3 linked regions of the Danio rerio genome follow. The protein of the gene in region 3 purifies or fractionates together with the protein of the main gene of each other region. This does not show direct contact. Links are inferred from orthologs where the notes say so. Each region holds a gene or a part of one and is shown on either strand. Other genes may lie near its edges.

Region 1 (3,933 bases), on a different chromosome or scaffold from region 3:
TAATAGTCAGATTGTTGAATTACATTTTTAACATCTAAAATGAAGTGGAGAAGAGATCAAGACCCCATAATGCATTTTGAAACTGTTAATCTACTGAAATTACTAGGAACAAAATTACTACTGAACATTTTTCTATGAAAATGCAGTAAAACGTGGTCAGTTTAAATTAACTTGTTATCTTGAAATTAAACAAATTAACAATGTGCATCATTATAAAAATGAAGTCAACTTGACTATTCTCTTTTTAAAGTGTAATTTATAAGTACGTTCTGCTTTTATTTTGACAAGTTGTCCAGAAGATGCTTGAGTTTTTTGTTTTCACATCAGTTTATTTAGCCATACACACACCATTCATCCACAATTTCCAAATTTCATTCCTGAATTTTTTTAAAACTGTGCAAATAATATGGCCCAATAATTCTTGCAAAAACTAAACTTGTCATTTTTATCTGTGGAAGAAAGAACAGCTGTGAAGAATGCAACTGGTCATGGTTTCCTGTGATAAACTAGCTTTGTGTGAGAGATTTAAGCTGTTATTCACTGATCATTTTCTCCTCCAGTGAGCAGTTAAGCTCTATGACTGGATCAAGTTAAGCTCGAGATCAAGATCTGTCTGATTTGTGAATGAATCATTCAGACCTGTCTTGTGAGCCAGATCCACAGATTCCTTGAAAGGACAGCATAATAGGACAATTTATTCAAAGATTTACCATAAGGGTGGGTTGAGATAGTTGACTATTCAAAACTACTATTAACAACGGGTTATTAACTACGAGTAAGGTTTTTTTGTTTCGCTAGTGGTGAATCTTCACATATAAGGCTTTTTAAAATCCCTTTTAAATAATGTCATAGCCACTACAAATTCAGGAAACTCGCTGTCATATTTCAACTTGCCTGCTGTGAACAGATAAGATGTGTACTCCAAAATTTTTTTGATTGTTTAAACTTATTTAAATAGAGCTAAAACAACACAATTCTTTTCACAATTCACAATTTTTTTGGGACAACTTAATTGTTTTATGTTCAATCCACTTCAGTTTGTCAAATGAATTTTTTAAAAACGAAAAATTTTAATTTAACTTAATTCCTTCACGTTACACCAACACAAATCGCACACGATTGTGTGAAATGAAGCTTTTTCTTCAGTGTGATGATTCTTATGTTATTCACAGTCTACAGGTATGTTTGTTAGAGATGTATCATGCAGACTGCAGAGATTAATCTATTTTTCTGGAGTCTTGGGTGTCTGTCAGAATGCAGAAATGTAGCCTTTGAAAGTAATGGCTTTCACAAACATGCAGAAATAAAAAGATTTCTCATCTAACATGACTGCCGTGCAAGCCGGCTGGATGTAATCCTTTTAGAGTCATCTTACAGTTTATTTGAAACTTGTAAGTTCAGATTCAATGTGAGCAGAATAAAAGCTTTTTTTTTCCTCAACAAAGATCACGGATGTTTAGACTGCATGAGGCTGAGTATGTTACAACAGAATGAGCATTTCAGAGGCAATTACTGCTTTAATTTATGATTTTGAGCACTTGAGCTAAAACTTAGATTGAACTTAGCTTTGTGCATATTATTGTCTACTCATAATATAAAAATTATTTGCATTCAAATGGACTTCATTATTTCCTAAATGTTAAATAATAAAAGTTAAACACTGTGCTTGAACCTTTCTGTTTTCTGCTGGATGTGAAGTGTTTTTATATTAGAAAAAGTTTAAGTTTTTGCATTCCTGCTGCTGAGCTGTAATTTCTACCCCATTGTCCTGTTCATTTTAATATTTTACTGAACACAAAAGCTCAAGTACAAACCTAGTAGGGCTGCATAATATATCATTTCAGTATTGAAATCGCAATATGCACATGATATGCAATGTTGAATTGGGAAAATATTGGACTTGGAGTCGGAAAATGAAACCATAACGAAGTAAACGATAATGATTTGCCTGTGTTTTTAAGGCTTTTAAAATGTTTAAAGCATTCAGGCACAAGAGATTTACTATTGTAACTAATAAACAATAATTTATTGAATTCTTTATAGAGTAAAGACTATGCAGTTAAATTATTTAATTAATTTCTTTACATGAATACAATTGGACTACCCTGAAACCAAATGCATGGTTTATTTCCTATTTTTTCTCTTCTCTGATCTAACATTTAATAAATTATTCACACTAATATAAAATCATCCTTATTGATCAAAATCAATGAATCCTTTCCAAAGGATATTTATATCACATAAATTCTAAATACTGAAATGTCAAAAAAATGTTTTAAATATCCTGCAGCCTTAATTTCTAGGCTCAAGAACATGTAAATAAATGATCCTATATTGTAATAATTTTCAAAATTCTCCTGTCTATTTGCTTTAAAGAGAGGTCACAAAATTGATGTTAATTGATCTTTTTTTTGCCTGTTTGTTTTTAGATGAAATCAAGCATGAACTGGAAAAGCAGAAGTAAGTTTACATCTCTTTTAGTAACATGCAGCATCCATTGAGCAGTGTCCTGTGATGTACATTGATGTAATATTAAAATAACGCTTATTGTTTGTTTATGAAAAGGCTCTCTGAAGCTTAATGCATCATCTTTATTCTAAACCATTATGGTTATGTAATCATTTCAGATTTCCATACTGAACAAAAAGCCCACTGTAACACTGAAGGGCTGCTGACTGAAAGATTGGAATGTTTGTTATTTAGTGAAGTATATTTCAGTGCCGTTTGCTGATATTTTCTGTGCATCTTGTGTGTATCAGGGACGGCACTGTTGTTCCTCCCAGAGCCAACTACATTGAGGCTGACAAATATGTCCTGCCTTTTGAGCTGGCATGTCAATCCAAGTCTCCACGTATCGTCAGCACATCTCTCGATTGCCTACAGGTATGCAGAGTCTCTCATCCACTTCTTCTGTACTCAAGGCATTGTAGGTGAATGGGGTTAAAACCAAAACAACTAATAGTTGTCGTCATCATTCTTTCTCAGCAGATTTATTGATATTTATATCACAAGTTTTTTAAAAATTGGTTTAAATATGCAATAGGTTTATATAATTTTATGGAATAATTTGATTTAATGTGAAGTTTTAGGTGAAGTTGGGTGCAAAAATTTAAGATTTTAATATTGATTTTTTAGACTTTATATGATTAAAAGATTTTTACAGTGGGCTCTTTTTTGTTATTACATAATTCAGAAAATACTACAAACTGTCAGAAAAAAAGCTTTTTATGATTTTTTTTAGTAAGATATTGTAGGGGTTTGTAGTTAATCAAAAATTATGTTTCGATTTTGATTTTGGCTTCTATTGATTATGAAAAACATTAATCGAGATAAAACAATTATTGCATTATATACCGCCCCTTTCCAGTTGTACACATTTGTTGCTCTGCAAAGCTCAGTTCCACGTGAGTACTACTAAAAACATGTACAGTAATGTAACATTTGTAATCATTCATTGATGTACATTCGAATCATTCATGTTTTTCAAAGTGCAAAAGAGATCTCATTTAGTGTGTATGTGCTCAGCCTCAGAGACGAGCAGAGCACACATCTAAAGTCATCTTAATTTGATCGCTTTAATGGTCAAATACATGTACATTTTTGTCAAAACGCTGTGATTAGTGATTAGTCATATTAACCCTCAATTATGTAACAAACAAACAAGTTGAGGATCAAAAGACATGTGAAAGTGAAACCATAAATCAGAACTGTACTGCTCTTAAAGTGACAGTGCACAATATTCCTGCTGCCGACTGTTTTTATCATTATTAATTGAACAACAAAAGGAGAAAATCACTCACTGCTCTTGATTTATATTTTCCCCTTATTTATGTTTGACGCAAAGATGTTTTTCAACCCATTTCTAAACATAATAGATTTAATAACTCATTTCTAATAACTGATTTCTTTTATCTTTGCTATGATGAAAGTACA
Region 2 (3,933 bases), on a different chromosome or scaffold from region 3:
TAAGACTAAAATTCAGCCATTATCTATTATTAACCAATATGAATGGTTAGAAATGGCATAGAACTGTTAAAAATAAATAAATGTTTATTTTCAAGACCAAGCACCAACTCCATTTCCAAAAACCTGGTAAGTGTAAAATGTAGCTAGTAGTTTAATCATGCAGTAAAAATATGAAGGATTTAAAAACATAAATATAATCTTAAAATAACTAAAAGATTGCCAAAAAATCTGTCAAATCAGTATTATTTTACACTTTTACATTTTTAATTTTGCATACTGTATTTTTTGTCTCAGCATTCCAATCTGTGAACTTTTCATTAATTTATATTTTTGTTAATGAGACGATTAATGCTCTTGTGATTAACTGACCCAATCCCAGGTATTCATCAGACGTTTGTTCCTTGGTGCTGGTGATAAAGCCTTCCTTTCCCCGAACAGTTCCTGATATGTACCGAGCCTTCACTCCTGTCCCGATGAGCTGGGCCAACTCCAGCTGACTAATGCACTTCATGATCTGAAGCACATAGACAAAATGACAACACCTCATTAAACCCATCAGCCAATCACATAACAAAGGACAAACACTCAGGCTAATCAAAAACAGAATAAAATTATCTCACAAAACCTGTCAGCCAATCAAATACCAGCCAAAGAGAGAAAAACAAAATCTATTAGCAAATCACATTAAGCAGAACAAACACACAAGCTAATCAAAGACAGAATATAAACGGCTCACAAAGCCAGTTAGCCAATCACATCACACAGGAAACACAAATGGCAATCAAGAAGAGAATGACAAGATCTATCAGCCATTCATATCAAACAGGAATCACACAGGCCAATCAAAGACAGAAAAAAAACAGCTGACAAAACCTGTTAGCCAATCACATTACACAGGAAACACAAAGGCCAATCAAGGAGAGAATGACAAAATCTATCAGCTAATCATATCATACAGGACAAACTTACAGGCTGATCAAAAACAGAATATAAACAGCTGCCAAAACCTGTCAGCCAATCACATAAAACAGGATACACAAAGGCCAATCAAGAAGAGAATGACAAAATCTATCAGCCAATCACATCATACAGGACAAATACACAGGCTAATCAAAACAGAACATAAACAGCTGCCAAAACCTGTCAGACATTGACATAAAACAGGACACACAGGGTAATTTAAGATAGATTAAAAAGAGCTCACAAAACTCGTTAGCCAATCACATCCCACAGATAACACAGGCCAATCAAAACAGTATAAAAAGAGCTTACAAAACTCGTTAACCAATCACATTGCACAGGAAACACATGGTCAATCAAACAGAGAATTTCAAACCCTTAAGAAATCTATGAGCCAATCATATTGCACAGAAAACACACAGACCAATCAAGGAGAAAATGACAACACCTTACGAAATCAATGAGCCAATTACATCACACAGGAAACACAGGCCAATCAAAATGAGAATGGTAACCCTTTATGAAATCTATAAGCCAATTAAATTGCACACAAAACACAGAGGCCAATCAATAAGAGAATAACAACACTTGACAAAATCTATCAGCCAATAGCATCACACAGAAAACAGGCCAACCAGACAAAACAAAAACTCTCTCAGAGCCAGTCAGCCAATAACATCACACAAAAACACACAGGCGAATCAAAGAGAGAGTGACTGCACCTCACAACACCCATCGGCCAATCACATTGCACAGGAAACCCATAAGCCAAACAGATCAAAGAGCTCACCTCATGCCAGGAGTTTCCTAGATAATTTCCATCAGTGTGAGCCACTGTGATGAGGGTCTTGATGGTGTCGATGTTCTTCTGCTTCATTTCAGTGATGCCAGAACTGGCCGTCAAGAGTGTGAAACGGGCCAGAGCCTGTACATATGCGTCTCGCTCCAACTGGAATAAAGCATATAGAGAATAAGCGAATAATGACTACATTTTGCTCCGATTCTCATTAAAAGCTACCTGAAACTAATGAAAGGACCATGAAGATTTGAGCTTTTTGGGATGGGGGTTCCTGCATGAAATGTGCAGAAAAGAAAAAGAGCAACTTCTTAAAAATAATTGCACTTTAAAATAAAAAATGCTTGGTTCACACCAAATGCATGTTGAAGTATCCACGCGTGTAGAAATTAAACACAGCTAATTCACACACGCAAAGAGAGGCACATTTACACCAAGAGGCAGAAATGTAGAATGCGTAACGCATTTGCTAGCTAGCAATTTGTGCAATTAGCCACAATCGTATCTTCAGTGAAAAGTCCAAAAATTCAACTCACATGAGGCAAAAAAACGAGAAATCTAAAGTGAGTGATCTGATGATATAAACTACGGTTGAGAGAATTAATTAATGCGCTGTGAATTGAGAAATGACCGTTTACGAAATTTTCTAAGCTTAGTTTTTACAACCAGATGCGGCTGTAAGCTTTAAAAACAGCCACACTCTGTCAATCCTTTGACATACCACAAACGTAAAACAATCACTAATAAATTCATTGATTAATTGAAAATGTTTAGGTGAATAACAAGAATGTTCATAGTAAGCTGTGTTTACATTAATCCTGTTTAACAAAACCCGTGGTGCCTGTACATTTGGGTACTGACTGAAAGCACAAATGCTTTGTGTTCTTTGTACTCGCTAAAGGCTGATTTAAACTTCTGCGTCGAGCGATCGCCGTGACCCATAGCGCATACACAGTCGTGCATTTATACTTACGCCTGCTGTTTGTGTTGCTCAGTAAAAACACTTCCGGAACACATGCTGGCAGCTGGTTTTTATGTTCCTCTGTCGAGTTTCTTTGCAGCTCTTTTTTGTTTGGTTTAGTTTTACCTTATTGCACAAGTAGCTAAAACTCACATATTCAGAGGAAGAAGGTGGCACATGTGCAACAACTTTAATCATAAGGTAAACACAAAGCAAAAGTTTTCATCTGGAGCTCCGTCACAGGACTCAACATTTGTAAACACTCGCTCCAATGGGTTTGCGTAGCTCTCGGCCCCGCCCACACTCGTCAACGGTGCCAAGCTGACCAATCGTAGAGCTTTTACTATGTGTTGTCACGACAAAGTAAAACATTTTTAAAGGTGTGAATCAGTATCGGTGTCATCCATGGCGAGGAGTATGTGACTGTGCAATGGCTGTGCCAAACCATACACGTGTGTTCAACACAAAAGTATAAATCAGCCTTAAGAGTGTTTGATTAAAAACTAGAAGAGCGCCATCTGCTGTTAAAAACTAAACTCAGAAGTGATTCCAGAGAGAATCACAATGCCTTCCAAAGATCTAAGGATCGATCCATGAATTACACAATACATTAAATTATCATCCCAGCCCAACATTATTTTGTCCCACATATTTTAAAATTGTAATTATTTTTTAATAATATAGATAATTGCCAAAATCGTATTTTGGTTGATTAATAATATTAAAATAAATGGTTAAAATCAGAATTATTAGCATTACACTTATTTTTCTTTTTTAAATATTTCCTAATGATGTATAACAGAGCAAGACATTTTTACAGTATTTCCTATAATATTTTTTCTTGTGAAGCAGGTCTTATTTGATTTATTTTGGCTTGAATAAAAGCAGTTTTAAATTTCTTAAAACCATTTAATTAGCCTTCGTAGGCAATATTTTTGAACTGTTTATAGAATATGTTATATAATGACGTGTCTAATTACCCTAATTAACCTAGGTAAGCCTTTAAATAGCACTTTAAGCACTGCATACTAGCACCTTGACATATATCTAGTAAAATATTATTTACTGTCATCATGGCAAAGATTAAGAAAAAATCATTATTAAAAATGAGTTACTAAAACTATTATGCTTAGAAATATTTTGAAAAAAAAAATCTTTCCGTTAAACAGAAATTGGGGGAAATATAGAGGGGCATAATAGTTCAGGAGGGCTAATA
Region 3 (3,787 bases):
AATTAGTTTGATCAGGTGTGTTTAATTAAGGTTGGAACTAAACTGCAGAGCTGCGGCCCTTTTGGAGCTGAGTTTGACACCTGTATATTCTGCTAACACATAGCTTTAGCAGATCACCTGCAGCACAATAAGATGCATCACAGCTGTTTAACATGAGCAGAGGCTGAACACGGCGTCTGGAGACGGTAAAGCTCATCTACACGTGTCGGTGCTCAGAGCAGATCCTGCAGGCCTCTGTTCATTACTCAGGAGCTGCAGTGCAGTCATTACACCACACACACACACACACACACACACACACACACACACCGCTTACTCCGGCTGGAGAATACACACCACACACTGAAGACGTGCTGCTGTCCCTCTGCTTACTAGAGCACCTGACCAGAGACCGAGAGTGACATGGCATTAGCATGAACACACACACACACACACCATCTCACCCGTTGATCATCATCACTCCTCTAGATGTGATGGTAAGAGCTCAGGAGTCTGCAGTGTGTGTGTGTGTGTGTGTTCTGGATGTGTTCAGGGGCGTTCAACTGAAGTCCATGTGAGTATAGTTTGAAGAATCAGTAAAGAGGAACAGTGAAGTGCTCAACACACACACACACACACACAGCAGGATCATTGCAAAATAATATTTATTCAACATCAGACACAAAGCTGAACAGAAACAATCAACAGGTCTTCAACATCCTGTCACTAAACCAACACACACACACACTTTCTGCAGATCTGCTGGAGCTCCTCTACTCGACTGCTGCTGCTTCATCCTGTGGCGGCTCATACTGCAGCAGCTGTGGAGACACACACACATACACACACACACACACACACGAGATTTGGCTAAGCTCATGTTTAGCAGAGTAATGTGTGAGGGAGCCACTATGTGTGTGTGAGAGAGAGAGACAGAGTACACAAGCACACCTGTCTGTGAGTGAGTGAGCATGTGTGTGTAAGAAAGCTAGCATACCTGTGTAAGAGTGTGTGTGTGTGTGTGCGCTCACCCTGCTCTTCAGCTCCTGGTTCTCCTCCATCAGCTGCTGGTGTTTCTGCTGCAGTGTGTTCAGCTCCTCCCGCAGACTCTCCGCATCCTCCGCCTCCACTCCCGAAACCCCCAGATGATGCTTGATGAAGCTGAAGCGGCTCGTTAAGGTTGGGTTAGTTAAGATAGGAGGAGGCTAGTTTGGGCTATTCTATCTCTTACAGCAGCGCTCATGAATTTGAATAAAACATTGATATTATTCACAAAGATGAGCACAAACTCAGCAGACAGCGGGAAACATGGCGGGGTGAGGGTGTGTGTGTGTGAGGATACTCCAAGGCATTGTTGGGCTTCTCCGTTTCCTCGTACAGCGCCACTAAGACTGAAACGCAGACATCAGATTAAACACACGCTGAGGAATGATATTCATCATCATCATCATCATCATCACGGGCTGAAACTGCCTGGACTCACCGTTGGTCAGGCTGTCGAGGACTCCAGCTTTCTCCAGATATCTCCTGAACTGCTCACGCTTCGACTCGGATGCCTGAAACAGAAGAGAAACACACATTACAGAAACAGTTCATCAGGCGGTGTTGTCTACAGCAGAGTGAGCTACACACACACACACACACACACCGCTGGAGCTCTCCACACTCATCATTACAGCTCCAGCTGAAGCTCATCAGCTCAGAGAAGACGCTTCGCTCCAGACACCACACACAAACACGCATATAAACACACACACACACACACACACATAAACACACAAACACACATACAAACACACACGGGCAGCGCGTTTCTTTAGCGCTGGTTTAACACTGGTCTGCGTGTGGACCGTCGCCTGAGGCAGACAGGAATGAAGGAACCTTCAGCGCGGGTCTTCAGCTCCTCTGACTGAGCTCAGCTGCGGACGCCTCTCAGCGCTCTCCGTTTCCGGTCTCATTAAACGGCGTGTCTAAGCTCGACTTTCAGCGGTTAGCTTGTTTGTGTTTGTGTGTGTGTTTGTTTGTTTGTTGTTTACTCACTCTGTAATGCGCCATCGCGGACGACAGACACCAAATGTTTGACTCGCTGATAGACTCTCGCGTGCACATGCGCAGAGGAAAGACGGAACAAACACACACACACCGTCACCCAGGCAACGCTTAAAGGGGCGGCAGCGACATCCATAGATATATACACTAGATATCGCATAGGGAGCCTGAGCATGCGTCAATAGTGCCGCCACATTGGTACAGTGCTCCCAGGACAATGTCATTCAAGACAGTGTTATTACGTGAAGATGCGGGACTTTAGCGCTGTCTACGGGTGTAGTAACGAGCAAACAAAGAAAACAAAGCACAAAGGCAGAACATTTCATAGGTAAGATTAAGTTTTTTACGTTTTTGCATGTTCTGAACTTTTGTGCTAAACAGGTAACGTTATTGATGATAATACAGTCACTACTGCATTCACCATACGGCAAAGCAGCTCCAACTCGCACTAAACACTCGGCTTATGCTAGTTTTGTTGAATAAAATCAGCAAACAATGCAAAAGAAATATGAAAACGACATGCTGCGCTGCCAGAAACATGTATTACTGTCGGCAAGTGAACGAGTCGCTCACCCTCACAACACGACACACCACAACACGACACACCACAACACAACACACAACACGACACACCACAACACACCACGACACAACACAACAACACGACACACCACAACACAACACACAACACGACACACCACACCACACCACGACACAACACAACAACACGACACACCACAACACAACACACAACACGACACACCACACCACACCACGACACAACACAACAACACGACACACCACAACACAACACACAACACGACACACCACACCACACCACGACACAACACAACAACACGACACACCACAACACAACACACAACACGACACACCACAACACAACACGACACACCACAACATGACACACCACAACACGACACACCACACCACAACACAACACACCACAACAACACGACACACCACACCACAACACAACACACCACAACAACACGACACACCACACCACAACACGACACACCACAACACAACACGACACACCACAACACACCACAACAACACGACACACCACAACAACACGACACACAACACGACACACCACAACACGACACAACACACAACACAACACACCACAACACACCACAACACGACACAACACAACACACAACACGACACACCACAACACACCACAACAACACGACACACAACAACACGACACACCACAACACGACACAACACGACACACCACAACATGACACAACACAACAACACGACACACCACAACACAACACAACAACACGACACACCACAACATGACACACCACAACATGACACACCACAACACGACACACCACACCACAACACAACACACCACAACAACACGACACACCACAACACGACACACCACACCACAACACGACACACCACAACACAACACGACACACCACAACACACCACAACAACACGACACACCACAACAACACGACACACAACACGACACACCACAACACGACACAACACACAACACAACACACCACAACACACCACAACACGACACAACACAACACGACACACCACAAGACGACACACCACAACACAACACAACACACCACAACACAACACACAACACACCACAACACGACACACCACAACACAACACACAACACGACACACCACAACACGACACACCACAACACAACACGACACACCACAACACGACACAACAACACGACACACCACA

The links.
Region 1: the proteins of mycbp (region 3) and arfgef2 purify together in Homo sapiens (co-immunoprecipitation; 4 studies listed by BioGRID and IntAct, with this or other methods). This does not show direct contact. The link is inferred for Danio rerio from reciprocal best matches to the Homo sapiens genes MYCBP and ARFGEF2.
Region 2: the proteins of mycbp (region 3) and arfgef1 purify together in Homo sapiens (co-immunoprecipitation; 4 studies listed by BioGRID and IntAct, with this or other methods). This does not show direct contact. The link is inferred for Danio rerio from reciprocal best matches to the Homo sapiens genes MYCBP and ARFGEF1.

Annotation. Positions count from the first base shown.
Region 1 is NC_133198.1:21,944,813-21,948,745, reverse strand, and holds part of arfgef2 (brefeldin A-inhibited guanine nucleotide-exchange protein 2), read left to right. Parts: intron 1-2,429; coding exon 2,430-2,460; intron 2,461-2,759; coding exon 2,760-2,883; intron 2,884-3,933. UniProt on the Homo sapiens protein: Promotes guanine-nucleotide exchange on ARF1 and ARF3 and to a lower extent on ARF5 and ARF6. Promotes the activation of ARF1/ARF5/ARF6 through replacement of GDP with GTP. Involved in the regulation of Golgi vesicular transport.
Region 2 is NC_133199.1:22,646,004-22,649,936, forward strand, and holds part of arfgef1 (brefeldin A-inhibited guanine nucleotide-exchange protein 1), read right to left. Parts: intron 1,910-3,933; coding exon 1,751-1,909; intron 515-1,750; coding exon 370-514; intron 1-369. UniProt on the Homo sapiens protein: Promotes guanine-nucleotide exchange on ARF1 and ARF3. Promotes the activation of ARF1/ARF3 through replacement of GDP with GTP. Involved in vesicular trafficking.
Region 3 is NC_133194.1:32,544-36,330, reverse strand, and holds mycbp (C-Myc-binding protein), read right to left. Parts: upstream 2,045-3,787; 5' UTR 2,035-2,044; coding exon 2,020-2,034; intron 1,536-2,019; coding exon 1,463-1,535; intron 1,371-1,462; coding exon 1,322-1,370; intron 1,141-1,321; coding exon 1,011-1,140; intron 801-1,010; coding exon 753-800; 3' UTR 628-752; downstream 1-627. UniProt on the Homo sapiens protein: May control the transcriptional activity of MYC. Stimulates the activation of E box-dependent transcription by MYC.